Linked DNA regions of Lepisosteus oculatus. The protein of the gene in region 1 purifies or fractionates together with the protein of each later gene. This does not show direct contact. Links are inferred from orthologs where the notes say so. Each region holds a gene or a part of one and is shown on either strand. Other genes may lie near its edges. The genes, in order: jazf1b and nr2c2.

The links.
Region 2: the proteins of jazf1b (region 1) and nr2c2 purify together in Homo sapiens (affinity purification with mass spectrometry; 4 studies listed by BioGRID and IntAct, with this or other methods). This does not show direct contact. The link is inferred for Lepisosteus oculatus from reciprocal best matches to the Homo sapiens genes JAZF1 and NR2C2.

Annotation. Positions count from the first base shown.
Region 1 is NC_090705.1:285,730-294,161, reverse strand, and holds the start of jazf1b (juxtaposed with another zinc finger protein 1b), read right to left. Parts: upstream 3,622-8,432; 5' UTR 3,362-3,621; coding exon 3,247-3,361; intron 1-3,246. UniProt on the Homo sapiens protein: Acts as a transcriptional corepressor of orphan nuclear receptor NR2C2. Inhibits expression of the gluconeogenesis enzyme PCK2 through inhibition of NR2C2 activity.
Region 2 is NC_090699.1:55,375,759-55,383,805, forward strand, and holds the start of nr2c2 (nuclear receptor subfamily 2 group C member 2), read left to right. Parts: upstream 1-4,404; 5' UTR 4,405-4,607; intron 4,608-4,728; exon of another isoform or gene 4,729-5,741; intron 5,742-7,367; 5' UTR 7,368-7,392; coding exon 7,393-7,452; intron 7,453-8,047. UniProt on the Homo sapiens protein: Orphan nuclear receptor that can act as a repressor or activator of transcription.

The DNA.
Region 1 (8,432 bases):
TCTGCTCTGTGCCTTTCCAAAGCTTTATCTCAGAGGTCATCTCATAGCTTGTTTTTGCCCAGAGTACACTCTTTACTTTGAGATGTGCTACCCAATAGAGAGCAAATACAGGAATCACTAAATTGATCACAGGTGGAAACTAATTGTCTTGTCATATGATTTGGAAGGCAATTGGTTACAACGGAGCTAATTTACAATTGCTATTACTAAGGGTGTGTGCACTTATGCAATTATCCAACCCATTTCTCTAGGTTTTCATTTGTAATTTCTTTTCAGAATATTTGAACATTTGTTTTTCACCTGGACGTTGTGTATTACAATGTGATTTATTGTGTGTTGATTTCAGGCTGTTAGACCACAAAACGTGTTACTTTGGAAAGTGTGTGTAGACTTTCTATAGGCACTGTGAACTATACAGTATGTGTACACATTTACTATATTTAGGTTCTGTTTATCCCTGTAGCCCCCCTAGACTTCAACAATCACTGTGGTGCAGTGTGTAAGGAGTCAATAGATTTGCAATATTCTCAACTGACTGCAGACACCTTGCCTTAATAGATATGGTAGCTAACATGATTTTTAAGTCCCAATTCCTCAGTTTAGTGAAGCACAGACCAGACCTGAGCCACAGGCTCAGTTTTGTTCACCGGTGATAATCTGAGTATCTGTGTTACTTTATCATTAACAAACCTGGAGACAATTTTGACAGTTGTGGGTGCATCAACCACACAATGTCACAAATAAAGGCACAGACTAGTCCAATCTAAAACTCGGTCTAACACAAAGTCGTCAGTAAAGGAATGCCGACCTATTTTTACCACTTTAAAATACTCATATTCCCCATATCACATACACATTGATTTTAAAGCATTAATTTTATTGAGATTACTTGAAATAGAATGGTTGACAAAAGGGGGGAAGAGACTTTCTCTTATCTTGGGTAGTCTTGGCTTGTTAATCAGAAGTCTCAACAGTTGAGCATACTGAGCTGCAACTGTGAATGACAAGATATCTTTTACACAGTCTGCAAAGCTGGGACACTTTAACGGCCATGGCCTGTAAATACACAGCACCACTGGTTAAGGAAGGGTTATGTTAAAAGAGCACTCTGCCTCTGGGGAAGACCTTTTTAAGCGTGCCCATAAAACCCCATTCTGCTCTGAGGCAGTGCAAAGCATCTATAACAAGCCAAAATAAACAGGTGTCTACAACACCAGACAAAAACATAACAAAAAGCTAAAGTGAAGTATTTGTATAGGCTTTGCAACCTGAAACAATGAGCAGACACCCACGCTGTACAGCCTAGTGCCTAAGAGACAAAATAAATGTTATTTACACACAGTAAGACCATACAAGTCTTCATTCAATTGAGCCTTTTACAAAAGGACTTCCAGCAACAAACTCCAGGATAACAAAGGGCTCTGCTTGCAAGTCTGGGTCTGTACTATACAGACTTCTTTATCAGACCAGCGGGGGACAGAACAGGAGGCTCAGACAGAAGGGACAGAAGAAACACACCAAGGGCCACACGGTACTGTGTGTTACACTTCCTTCACAATACACTGAAGGTGTGGAACATACCACAAACTGATTACAACTAGAAAACAGTGTTTCACACGTCTTGCTCAGGCAATGTCTAGCGTAATTACTTCCTGACAGTTAAAAGCATGTTCCACTAATACAAATCTTACTCTCTCTTATCAACCAATATATAAATATATCAATGCCGGCAGTCAGAAAAGTGACCTTTAACAGACAATCTTGTTTTTAGTAGCAATTATTAAGTCCGGTCTGATGCATCGCCCGCCTTCATGCAAATAATAACTGAAAGCTTAGAAAAAGCTTATAAAAAGACAAACAAGAAGCACTAAATCACAGAGTGACAAGTCTGCTCCTCCGATTTGCTGCTGTCAACCTTAAGTACAAGACAACCCTGACCTTAAGTACAAGACCACCATCGCGGTAAGAAGTGTTCAAAGGGCTGTTGACACAGGAGTCCCACTACCTCTGTTGAGCTGAGGAGAGGAACAGCATCTAAAAACACTCATGTAAGAGTTCTCAAGCACCGGGCTCACACGTTAGCCGGTACGCACTAAAAACATGTGAAGCATGCACCCTCGGTTACTTTCGAAGTAAGTTCACCTTTCTATGAAAGCCTGATATTTTAATATTAGATAGAGTCTATGCCAAACAGGGCTTAAAATTCACAAACTGTACAAACGATGATAACCTTAACCAATCTCCGAACACGTATATATGAGATTGTCATTTTTTATTGTATCGCACGAACGTATGTTGTAAATGTAAATATATCCATATATTTTCAAGAAACAGTCATATTCGAGCAATGCGAAAGGTCTCTACACGAATACAGGCTACAGGCGGAGGACATCTGCATCTCGGCCTGCTTGCAGGCGGCGGCTCACGGGTATGTGGACCTGTCCTGGGCGATGACAAAGCTCAGCACAAGAGCACAAACCCCTGAACTGAGAACTCAGAAGCTGCGGCAACACTGTCCGTGACTACCGGCTTCCGGTGCGAGTATACAACGGAATCGGCTCAATAGTTAAAACACATGCAAGCACAGCTGGCGACACCCACGTAACAAAACGAGCCAAGCACGATGACGTACAGCAGTGAAGCACTCGCATTAATGCATCTAGCTCACCCCGAGAGCCGCTGTAACTCGGGGGAATCGTGCAGACCGACTCCCGTTACTCTGCGCAGGGCAGTGCCTTTGCAACCCAAATCCAGCTGTTCCGCGTTAACTGAGCACGGGCGCTGCAGAAATGCGTAGCTCCACTCGGTAAAACGTCTTTCCCTGACGCCTTTCCTTGCGCACACGGACAACACGTTATGCGCGTCGTGTCGCTTTCTGCCCCTGCCATTGCGCCTGCTAGCTGCACCCCGCTCCGCGAGAGCCCGGCGCCGCAGCTGGGCCTAACTGTAAACACTGCACATGACAATCACTCGGGCTCGCAGGACGTCTCCGCCTGCAAAGCGCCGACATGCATTGCATCGCCGGCAGCCCGACACCCGCCCGGGGCTCTTCTCGACAGTGCAAACGCGAAATCCCCCCAAACTCGAACGCGGCGGCTTGAAAATATAAAAGTGGGGAAGCCCGGTGCCCCCATCACCACCACACCTAGCAACCGCGCTGACAGGACGCAGGAAGAGCATGGCTGCCATTGCCCCGAGAGCAGCGGCGGCTGAGGCGCCTCGGAAACGCGCCTGGGCGCCGCTTACCGATGTGGTTGTCCTCGATGTGCTCGATGAGCTCGGCCAGGGTGGAGAAGTGGAGTCCGCAGCCCCCGAACCTGCAGGTGTTGGAGAAGAAGGAGGCGGCGGCGATGCCTGTCATGGTGTTACATGGAGTGCGGCTCAGCCCGGGCGGCGGGGAAGGGGCAGGCACCGGCAGCCAGGCAGCGGCGGCAGCTGGAGCGGCGGCGGGCGGGGAAGAGGAGGCAGCGGCTGGCGGGGGAGGGACCACAGCAGCAGGGCTGCGGGTGACGTCATGCTTACCTGTTGCAGCGCCCCCACAACACTGCCCCCTCTCCCCCCTCCTCACTCGGGCACTGCTCTGTTCAGTTAAAGGGCCGTCTTCCTCTCGGCACTGCCAGATCCTGGTCTGTTTCACCCCGTAGCGGCTTCTAAGTGTTCGCCAGAAACAAAATTCAGTATGAAAGAAATAAAATGCGGAACGTCTCGCACCGCTCTTGGACGTCTACAACTGCAAGTGCCGCCGGTTCTATAAACACGTTATCTGTTCAAATCATAGTCACAAAGTACTTCCAACACGTGTGTAAACAATACATATCTACATGCATCGTCTATACTCGATACAGTATCTCCTTCCTTCCTGGTATAAGACTGTAACACCCGCTAAACCCGAGCTACCACTGGATTGTGTTAATAATAATAATAATAATAATAATAATAATAATATCAAATCAAAGTTTATTTATCAAATGCATAACAGTACAGCGTGCAGCAGTAGTTGCTGCCAATGAAATGTCTTTTCTGTGAGCTCACAAAGATCACAAAAATCACAAAATTAAGGTTACAAAAATAAGGTTACATGATAATAGATAGTAATGTAATAGAAATTTAATACAACTCAATATGAATAGAGCTGCTATGTGTCCATGGCGTATGCAATATATTATGTCCAAGTACTCCAGTAGTAAGAATAATAATTTTTAACTTAATAAATAATCAACAATAAAGTTAAAAACTTGAACAATAAATTACAATAAAATTAAGTGAAAGAGAAACAGAGCATACAGGTTTTTACAGATTGACTGTAGGCAGTCAGAATAGACCTTTGTAGAAACATATTTTAAGTTTAGATTTAAAGAGAGTTTAAAAAGTTGTCTCTCGTAAAGTCTGAGGAAGCTCATTCCACAACACTGGAGCAGCGGCGGAGAGGGCTCGGTCACCCAGGGTCCGTGGTTTAAACCTGGGGACTGTGAGCAGAGGACCGGCCCCAGCTTACCAGAGCCTATGGTCGGAGTGTAAACACAGAGGAGTTCAGCCATGTATGATGGAGCCAGATTGTTTAGAGGCTTGAAAGTCAGTATCAAGATCTTATATTGAATATGTGACTTTATAGGCAACCATTGTAGAGACGTAACTATAGGAGTGATATGCTGCCAGTGTCTGGTGTGAGTAAGTAGTCTTGCAGCAGAGTTTTGAAAATTTTACAACTTGTTTGATAAGAGAGTTAGGGAGCCCACAGAGTAAAGAGTTGAAGAACTGAAGCCATGATACTGTAAATGCATGAATCAGGCACTCATTTCAAGGAGGCAAGCATCATAACCAAACATCTGAGTCATCATGATGTTACATTTATTTAAAATTAAAAATTAAAAAACAAAGTAAGTAAACTTTTTTAAGTCTGTTTTACAGTAGTTAAAATAAACACGCCCAAGCAATTAGAAAAAGCTAAAAAAAAACATAATCATATATTTAGAAATGCATGAAACATACATGTTGAACAGCGATCTGTGCAGAAGAGTAGAAGCTTCTGCTCATGTCGTATTAATTCATACCCAGACCTCTCTGCCAGTTGGTCCACAGTGCTCCTGTGTGATCCAGGGGCTCTCCTTCAAAGACCAGTGACACTGGGGTATTTAAGCAAACCTGTTTCACACTACTCTATTAGCTCCTCGGTACACAGAGCAGGAGAAGGAGAGCTCCTGTTAAGATCATTAACACAGCAATTCACTGTGTTTATCACTTTAACTTTACACATGGGATAGGATTCGCCTCTGAAGCCCCACAGTATCCACTCTCACCACTGGAGCCCCCACACAGCAGGTGAAAAGGTACCTTACCAGCTCAAACCAGGGGAACCCTTGTGTCAGCCAGACTGCAAAGGCCCAGAGTGGAACATAACCAGGCACTGACACCCCTCACTCTCCAGTGAATTGAGTAAAAAAGAGAAATGGTGAAAGTGGTAATAAAGCAAAACTAAGGGTGTCAGGCAGATACAAGATGTATTCTGTCAATAAAATATGGGTATAATGTAAATAATACAATGTTTGTATTTTTGCCAAACTAATATGTCTGCTTGAAAGCAGCTGCGAAAGTGCAAGTAGTAATTAATCACTTATTCATTTAATATCATTTGAAGTAAGGCAAGTTCAGAAGTGAGTTCAGTGTAGGATCGATAATGACACTGTCCCATCTTGAGAATGAGTTTGGCGTTTCTCACGTTGATTTTAAATGGTTCAACTCTTATTTTACTGGTCACCGACACTTTGTTTCTTTTGGGGTTTTGGCCTCATTGAATCTGGTGTTCCTCAGGGCTCGATACTGGGTTCCCTGCCTTTCAGCATCTACATGTTCCCACTTTGTCAGAAAAATTACTTGATCTGAATGATCATTTCTATGCTAATGATACTCAAATCTATGTCCATACTAAACCTGACACCTGAAACCTGAAATAGATTTTTCTGCACTTTCTAATTGTATCTCTGATATAAAAACCTGGATGACTCAAAACGTCCTTCATTTAAACTGCAACAAGGATAAGGTCATGCTTCACAGCATGGCATCTCTCATCACCTACATAACACCAATGCAGGAATGCTGTCTGTGGACGGCACTGTGCTTGAATGTCAATCAAAATAAATACTTTAGAGGTGATATTTGATCCTGGCATCACTTTTGACCCTCATGAGGAGAACACTGTAAAAACATCATTCTTCCATCTCAGAAAAATTGCCAGACTACATCCTATGTTGACTCTGACTGTTGTTGAAAAGCTGGTCAACACATTTGTCTTCTCTAGAATGTATTACCACAACATCCTTCTTGCGGGGGTATCGAAATCCACACTGAACAAACTTAGGCATGTCCAGTATTCAGCAGCCGGAGTCCTGACCAGGTCACAAGCAAGCGATCACAGTACTTCTGTCCTGGAGTCCTTGCACTTTCTTCCTATCAAGTTTCAAGTCGACTTTGTGCTCACTTATAAGGTTCTACGTGGCTTGGCACGTCAGTGCCTACTTCACTTATTATCTGTATGCTACCTATCTTGCATCTATTGTTTTTTGAAACTACAACCTAAATTCAAGAACTGCACAGATTTTCTCTGCTCTATTGTCATTCTGCTTCTGGAATGCCTTTGTTTATTTAAAATTGTTCCTTGTTTAAAAGAAAAGCTGTCACTGGTGAAAGATAAAGAGATAATGAACTGACAGCCTTCCAGCCCTAGCCAGGCATGTTGCTGCACATCACTCTAGCAGAGACTCAGGCACTGGGAAAAGTGCTGACTCCAGCCTCAGCACAGTAAGAGCATGAAGGTTTTCCTACTGTATGTAGACTCATTTTTTCTGCTCTCTACCCACAGCTCATACTTTTTACTCTCTTGCTAAAAATAAATATCTTATAGTTGAAATAAAATACTTAAAATAGTTTAAGCATTTTTGTGCTGATTGACTGGTTGATAAAGCGAGAAAATGCACATCCAAACTACAATCGGGAATTGTTTTATAGATTGAATGCAAAGTAAAATTGGGATACCTGTGTACACTGGCATAAGCGCAGGCTGTGTAAAGCAGGCATGTCTCCACACGTTATGTTCATCACAAATCCTTTCTCTGCAAGCACCGGAGTCGCACAAAAGCCTCTGGCAGCCATGACTGCGTCCCCATCAATATGCTGTGTCAACAGCACTGGATGGAAGCTTTTCAGTCCATGAGAGTGTGAGTCAATGGGCCTTTCAAACAAGAAAGAGAGAATGTAAGAGAGAACATTACTGGAAAATAATACTTTAGAGTTATTCTTTAAAATAGTTTTTAGAGTTGTAAGCCTTGACCTTCATGCATATGTCAGCATTCAACAAGGCCTTCATTGCTGCTTTTGTGCCTAAGACATCTGCAGCTGGCAGGGACAGACAGAGTGCTTCACACCACATTTATGCTCCTTTACAAATGCATTCCTCAATAACACCATCGTTTTTGTTTCTTCCCTGCTATCCTCACCTGCTCCTTCAGAGTCTAGAATCAGTGATTAGTTTAAGTTTTTTGTATTGTTACATCACTCAAACATATCAAAAGGGACATTGTTATGGCTCCAGAATTCCTTGTGTTATTATTTTTGAATGAACGATTTACTCATCTGTTTGCCTTTTATCCTCTTTGTGCATTAAACAATATAATAGCTTATTATTTGATTTTGGAAAATGGAAGATGTTTGAACAGAGAAGACTACGACAGGAGCTGATGCAAGTATTATATTCGAAACTCTCAAATGCAATGACAAGGTCAAGCCAGCTTACTTCTTCAGAATTAAAAGGGAAACAGGAACCAGGAGGCACAAGGGGAAATTACATGGAAGTGTTTCTAAAACTGAGAAGAAGAGGCACTTTTTTACCTAAGGGGTAAAGGGGTAATGGGAGAATGCAACAGACAACCCAGACATGTTGTTGAAGCTGATACCCTGGATTCTTTTAAAAAAAACATCTGGATGAGATCCTTGGATCAATTAACTACTAACTACCAAATGGGCCAGGTGGGTCAAATGGCTCCTCTCATTTGTACCCTTCCTTATATTCTTTGTTCTTGTGCCACAATATAACGCGATTCCTAACAATGCAAACTGCATCACCTGTATTTTCCATTTAGATTTTTATTCTGCTGGAATTTTACAGGTATGACATGGGTCCTAGACCAACACAATAATGACTTTCTGGGAATCTTGTGTCCTTCATGAGGTATTGCAAAGCTTTAGGGTTTATATGGGCCCTCCTTGGGCAGCATGGTGGTGTGCTGGTTGGCACTGCAGGATTTTGGTTTGAATATATTGCCTGGGTGTCTTTGTCATGAAGCAGCTCTTTCCGGGCCCTATGCAGACGACGCGATCCGGAATTGTGAAGATACACTAGGGAGAAAGTCATGCAGGATACAGGGAGGCGTGTCCGAGGT
Region 2 (8,047 bases), on another chromosome or scaffold:
TCATAGGTGGATTAAATGAATATTAGGCACAATCCAACCTCTGATGAAATTAGTTGTAGTTTTTTTGTCTTTTGCTGGTGTAACAAGAAGAGGTGTGAGTGCTACTATTTTGTTTAGTAAGAAAAAAATCCCCAAATTCCATATTATAATATCTTTTTTTTCCCCAAATCTCAACATCCTTCTTAAACCGTGTTTTCCACATATAAAGATGCATTATCCCAATGAGGGAAAGAAGCTCACACAACAGAGAAAGCATTTGGATAGTGTAATGAAAAGTACCCTTTTAAGCTTAATCTGTGGGCAAGACTCGATACACAGAGTTATAAAATACTTCTATATCTTTGCATGCCATGTAGTTTTGTGCCATGCACTTTGAAGACAACAGAGCTGATTCTTGATATATATGAAAAAAAAATGTAAAGGCTGATGTCTGTATCTAGTGTACATTCACTAACAGTAGGCTACACCTGCTGGAGGCGTTGGACAATAAAAAACATTTACCAGCCTGCCAATCAAGACAGTTTCATTTATTGGCACAAAAGAGCCGTCACATCCAACATAAATGCGACTCCATAAGACTGGTTGCCAAGGAGACTCACTGTGCAAAATTTGCCATGTATTACTTAGCAAGTGGAGAAAATGCCTTACAAATGTAAATTTAATTTGCTCACTCCGTGTGTTGCTGTCATTCAGTAAATCTACCTATTTTCAAAAAGAAGTGCAATAGCTGTTGCGCAGAAGTGATTTGATTTGGTTACCTTATAAGACCTCACTGCTACTTGCCTGCCTGATGCTGGAATGTATAGTATATTAGCTGAAGTGGGGAGTAAATAAGTCTGAGAAGTGAAGTGTTGCCCATTCATTGTTATCACATTTACTTGTTAACATGATATTAAAGCAATGGACTAATGTTTCTCTCTTGGAAAATGGCTAAAAGAAAGATGTAAGGTGATAAAGTGTTAATTCAGACTAAGGGTCATATTAAATCAAATGTATTCTATTCATCTTGGGTTTAGTTTGCTAGAGGCTTCTTCCTTTCATTTATTGGCAACCCTCAGTCCCACTATCTTGTACTAGGTTTAAGGCTTTTTTAAATATTGATTTCATCTGATTACAAGGGGTGTTACAAATTCACAAAAAGTGAAGCAGAACGCTGTACATTTTTTGTTCTTCTCATCATAATGCTGTCCTGTGCTTGTACAAAATTCCATACCCTCAAAAGCTTTTTTCAAAATGTGTGTTCTAAATAGAAAAGAGATAACTGACCTACCTTCCACAGTTGATTTTTTTATTAATAGAAACTTATTTTAGAAATAGCTAGGAAAAACCATCTTTAGCCACCTAAAAGCAAAGCTGTAGTACAGAAATATAGGAAGCCATTGAATTCTGTTGTTAACAGAAGAGTTTTCTCCAACTAATATATTCAATTCGCTCTGAAGGAATTCTGTTGGTGACTTTGTAATGCTATCATGATTCCTTTTGAAGACAAGTGCACCATTTAGCATAAGCAGATTTGAAGACTATATTAAGATTTATATTTTTATGATATAAACCAAGTGCCAAAACAGGTCAGGCATGTAAATCTCTGATCTCAGCCAGTATGGGAATGTTTATTTAAGAAATGATAAAGCACAGGATGTATGCTTGGAGAATACAGACAAATGCAGTTTTTCTGTATTTGTGATGTTGTCTCTTTAGTGTTATGTACTTAACTTTTAAAATGGCCTTGCATATATTGAGTTTTAAACTAAAAAAAATAATAATTTTGCTTTATTTGCATTGACAAAGACAGATATGAAAACAAGGAATGTAATTATTAATTTTGTGCAGATTTTCTGAACCCTTGTTTCAGTCAATGCTAATGTACTGAGATCTGGTAAAGAATCAATGAGTATTACAGAGAAACATGAAAATATTTTGTTGTAAAAATAATTAAATAATGGAGTTTTGTCTAAAATTGTCTGTGTGTGTGGGGGGGGGGGGGGGGTAGTAAAGTAAAAGAAAATAAAATAATGTATACTGTCTTTTTTTTTCAGAAAAACAACTCTCAGTTGTGAATAGCAGAATGATGCAATAGCACGTGAATGATTGATGTCCACCATTTTTTTCATGTCCAGATAAATCCTTGCAGATAAAAATGAGAGCCCAACATCTTTTTTGCTTAGGTCACTTTAGTGCAGTTGAAAAGGGGTATCCATTTCACTCCAACATAACATACATTAAAATCTTATCTAGATCTCATTTTGTATTTCCATAGTATACATTGTGATGGATGAATAGCTTCATCTACTCATCCACCCATCCATTATCATAAAGCCGCTTATTGCTGGTAAGTGTCATGGCAACCTGGAGCCTATCCCAGAAGCACAGAGTACTGGGCGGGACTACATCCTTGACGGGATGCCAGTCCATCAAAGGACACAGACTCCCAAGAACACAGGGACAATATTGAGACGCTAATTGGCCTACCCAGGATTTTACTGCAGCATTAATAGGAAAATACACTTAAATGGAACAGCAGAGGATTTTTCTATCAATGTTACACCTCCTTTCTTTATAATTTGGTGTCTGTGTAATGAAAAGGGCACATGTATTACTTGGACTCAAAATATACTGCGATGCACTTTCTGGCTTTTGAACAGAAATCACTAATTAAATGGTTGGTTGACTGAAGTACTACACTATTAAAGGCCGTTACTTTTTTTTTCTTGCAATCCTTATTATTATTATTATTATTATTATTATTGTTATTATTATTATTCTGTAACTAATGAATCTTTCTATGTCTCTTATCTGAGATATTCCTAGCATATTTCTCTGGTAGGATCCTACAATCCATTTTGCAATGAGGCAATTATGAAGGTACTGTATGAAACTGCTCTTTGTAACACACAGATCTTGCTTCATTAACACCCAGCTTCACAAGAGGAAAGAAAGAAACTGAAAACTAAGTTTTAATGCTCAGGGCTAAAAACAAGACATTTATTTCTGACTGAGAAAATAACACACTGATTCCTCACTTCCCAGGAACATAATTACTTTTTGTAAGTTATTAAATTAAACCTCCCAGTGATGTCTTCAATAGATGTTTTTGCTGTGCATTTACTTCCTCTGTATATTCACTTTCACACTTTTGTGCTAAGTAAAAAGAATCATCCTCCTTAACCATTTCCTCCCTGAAATTGATATGACCCACTCCTTGCTAAGGGCAGAGCTCATTATCTTTTGTCTGGGAGGGTCATCCCTGGACAAGCTGCAATACAGGTACAGTCGCAAACCTACCTCACATATGTTAAGCCCCGGGTTCGATTCTGTCCCTTTCTGTATGGCATTTGCACATTCTCCTCATGGCTGTGTGGATTTATTTCTGGTTTCCTCCCACAATTCAGAGATTTAGTGGCTAGGTTAACTGACATCTCTAAATTGTGCCCATCTGTGGCTGTTGCCTTCAATGGATTGGCACACTGTCTAGGGTGTATCCTGCCTTGAGCCCACATTTGATGGAGTAGGCTCTGGGTTACTGCAACCCACTATGTGACTGAGCAATTATTGAACATTTAATTGCTGTTCCATTTAATGTTCCCTCTAAACTTATTTTTAATTCAAGCTGTTACATGTTTCACTCCAAGTTAATGTTTGTATCACATTCTCTCCACTTTCAGTGACATTTTCTATCGGTGTAATGTACAGTATTTAGGAGTTAATCAAAAAGGGTTGCTAACATGCTCATGTGTGTGTTAACCTTTCCACTTTTCTAGCTACCACTAGCAAATTAAATTATTTTAATAGTGATGTTCATTTGTTGTGCATAGTTATTTTTGGGGGGCACCAGGGTAAGATCAAAATAGTTTACAATCACAAACAGCAAAAACTACTGAAATAATAAGACATCTTATTGAGATCTTAAAATCTCATTTAATTACATCGTGAAGTGTGACAATTTATTTTATAAAAATGATCTCTAAAAAAGAAATGTAAAATTCCTTCATGGTTAAGTGAGTTTTAATCTGACATGGTAAAAAAAAATACCACGAGGCTGTGGGATTTGGGGAATTCTTTGCCTTGGGATGCTTCTGCTTTTTCCCCCCGTTTTGTCATCAGTTCTGTCATGGAGAAGTACTGCGAAAAATAGATGTGTCCTCTATGCACATCACACAACCGCTTTTCCAGATCCTCCTTCTCGTTGTGGGCTCTCTCTTGACCTTGATATTTTTGCTAGTCAACGCCTGTTTTTTTTTTTACTCTCACTAGGTCCTTCTAGAACTCCCAAACGCAAAGACAATATCCACTGACTCTCGCGTCCTTCCACACACACATAGGAAAAAAAAAAACTTGCATCATAAAGAATGAAAAGAAAGACATAGACGAATAGGTCGCGGCCAATCAGAGGCGGCCCACCCGTGGCAGACAGGCTGACGTCAGCGCTGTCTGGCTCTCGCTGCTCGGTGAGCGAGGAAGGAGAAGAGCGCTGGAGGAGGAAGAAGAAAAAACTCCCGGCACGCTGGCGGAACGGGGTCACGAACTATGACCTTTCACAGAAGAAAAACAATAACAAATAATTTTTTAAAAACCTGAGAACTAAAAACAACGCTGTTTCCCCCCAGGAGGTAAGACTTCTCATCACTTTCATGCCCGTTTAATGGTATATTGAAACGCGTCGCGGCGAAAGGTGGTTAATTTCACTTTTAGTAGTCCCCCAGCTCCGGGAAGCTCTGCGCCAGGTCCGGTCGTTAAGGTTTTATAAACTGCTGTCCGGTCAGATTTTAGTTGAAACACTTAAATTGGAGATTTGGGAAGGAGTTCATGGGACAAACCCACGAAAACGCGTTTTAGTACGCGAAACGAAGGCAGGCGGGAGAGTCGGGCTGCGTTTGGTTTAAGACGCATCTGAACCCGACCCTTTTACCTTTGCCATCCCGGGGACAGGGGGGCTGGTTTGCAGAGGTTGTATGCATAAACAGAGGCGGACGCAAGCCACTGTCTGCCAGGCTTTTCTCACGAAAAACGACACGTAGGACCACGGGCGTCTTGTGATTTTTACACGCATTTTTAAAATGCACACTTCAATGGCTGCTCGGCGCGACTTGGCGTTGTGCCAGATTCTCCATTTTGTTCTTTTTTTTTTTTGTCTTTGCATGCGATTTAAACTCGGCAGGGACAGATTGTTGAAGCAGTCCATGCATCCCACCAATCGCATAACGCTTGTATGGTGGCTATGAAAGCTTAAAACACCAATGACAGAGGCCGTAATAACGCAGTGTAGGACCGAGTGTGGCTGTATTGACCCCTCCCAATTTTCGAAAATATGTATTTTGCTGCTCCCGTGCAGAAGAATTCGTTTTGACGAATAATTTATCAGATTCTATTGCATGTCACTTGTGCTGCAATTGAAACCGCATTTTGTTTTTCAGAAGAGAGACTCGAGCAGTTATTAAGTGAATCGGTGGAGTAATCTGACAGGGCAAAGTTGTACGCCAAGTTTGAATTATGATTCTGATCCCCGTTAGCGAAATCGTTAGGTTTGATGTGTACAGATAAAAAAAAAATGCTCTTGAATTAGAAACAACACAATTGTGTGTGATGAAGTAAAATCATCCCTCTTTTGGGAAACAAAAGAAATCGACCCGTTTGACTGCCGATGCTCTTTTCTATTACATGTACTATGTCCAGTCTGTTACAAATGAGTGTGCATTAAAGAGAACGAGAAAACAATTTACAGTAATTTATTGTCACGCATCTCGGTGAGTAGATGTATTTTTATTTTGATGAGCAAAAGAACTTGATGTTTAAGACCCACGAGAACCATTTGGCCTATTTCTTTTTCAGTTTCCCCCTAGAATAATGTATTAATGAAAGCTGTGGCATCTTACATATGTTGCCATCTTGATCAACTGTAAGGTGAGAGGCTGCTTGGTTTATTTGCAGCACTGAAGTGTGAAACTCTTGCCCTATGATATAATTCGTTTTGCACTTCGTTATATCAAGACTTTCTGTTTTCTTTGCAGTCTAACAGGATATAGCCCGTTATATATGTTTAAACACTTCATATATTTTCATTGTAAAATGTGTAATATCAAAGCAGAGCAGAGACTGGTTTATGGTTCTTTTGACCCTGCAGTCTATGATAAGTCATATAACACATCACTATACTATTGTTCACTGTAAATATATAGGTCTGTATCTGTGAATTAACATACACTCATCTGCTATTGATTTAGAGCTATACAGACAGTACAATCACACAGCTATAGTGAGGGAGCAAAAAAAACAGGACTGAATCCTATTTTTAAGATAAAAACTATGCAAAAGTATCATGAGCTTAACCAGAACAAGCTTGTGTCAAATTGTGGATATGGCATAATAAGCTGCCACACCTCCTGACAGATCTAATGCCTTTAGTGATACTAAAGATGTTTTATTCGTGAGAGGAGCTGATAATTAATTTTTTCCTCTGGTCTTTTTTTTTTAACCACTAATCAAGAAATCTGTCAGCCTTGCGTGAGGTCAGATCCGAATTTCATATGCAAATTACATTTTATTGACTGAACCCTCTATAAGAGGATTCTGTGAAGAAGACAGCCGTCAGAAGAGATGTTAATGAAATTAGCAGTGTGCAGAATAGTACAGATGGGGGAATACTATACGACGTTGTGAAAAGAAATCAGAGCTGACAAACGGAAGGACAAGGTCGATCCACAGGAATTACTGAAGTAGTGCGAGAAGTAATGGAAAATACTATAGACAACTAGTAGACAGTTGCAGAACTGGGTACAGACACTAAGCTTTGGCAGCAGAAGTACAAAGCTGGATAGAAGGCTGTGATGGAGGAATACCATACAGAAAGCAGCCAAATGAAAATGACTTTGCATAATCCAAGGCCTCATATGCATAATACATCATTGCATTCATTATTAAAATGCATTGCAATGATTTCTTGCTGTTGTGAATGCTAGTGACTATACAGTGAAATGAACAACGTTTTGTGGTCAAGCCATGAATTCAAATAACAGGTGGGGAGGGCACTGCCACTTAATCCTTGAGCTTTACCCACATGATTTCAACAAAACCACTCATCTGTATACATGGTACCAAAATTTGGTTAAAAACTGATACAAGAATCAGCCAAATTAATAATAAAAATAACTTTAAAGTTCTTCAGTGTAGCACAGTGGAGGAATCGATTAGAGAGTTTAAAGAAGGTCCGTAGACTTTAATTCCTGCATTTAGATCTTCCATCTAGGGTTTCTAAATACTGTGGTTAATTCTTACTTTTGACCAATGAAAGTGTTGTAGGATACTGTAAAGAAGAACCATACCAGCATAATTTTGCTTTGGCTGATAGAAGCTGCTGGCTTCTTTCCAAACAGGTTTCGCTAATGATCTTGCATCGCCATGGCAACCAATATGGAGGTGCTAGCTCAGCAGATAGTGGACACAGAGCAGGTGGCTGAGGTGAGTGACAGATGATACAGTACAAGTTGAAACACCTTGGGCTTCATTAGGATGGATATTCACAATGCATAGTGGTGCTGTGGCATTTTGTTTAGGTCTCCCATACATCTTATTAAAAACTGTCTACCAATACAACACCGCTGCCAAATCTGAATCATGTCTTGGTATGATCTATGTGGGCAGATGAGCTTACTACAGTTAAGCTAGATATTACGGCTCCTGCAAAGTTGTTTTGTGGAGTCACGCAAAGCACAACATTAACGCATCAGTTAATGTTTAGTTACCAGATTTCACAAGCAATACATATATTTTAAGCACATCACTTGAATTAGATACTGTTGCATTGTCTCTTCCATGTTGTCCAGGTTGTGAAATTTTAAATTTGCCCAGACGTCTAAGTCATATTGTGATGGTAGATTAGGAATGCGCTGATCTACATGCTGCATCAGGAGTGACAGTGACAGCAAACCCGTGTTTCTTATCTTGAATCTGGTGTTTGAATACAACTTGTTGATGGGGTCTGGTGAAACTTTTCTTCCGACTTGAAACGTGAACCAAATAGACCTTGGCATGCAATCCTAAGACTGGCAGCATC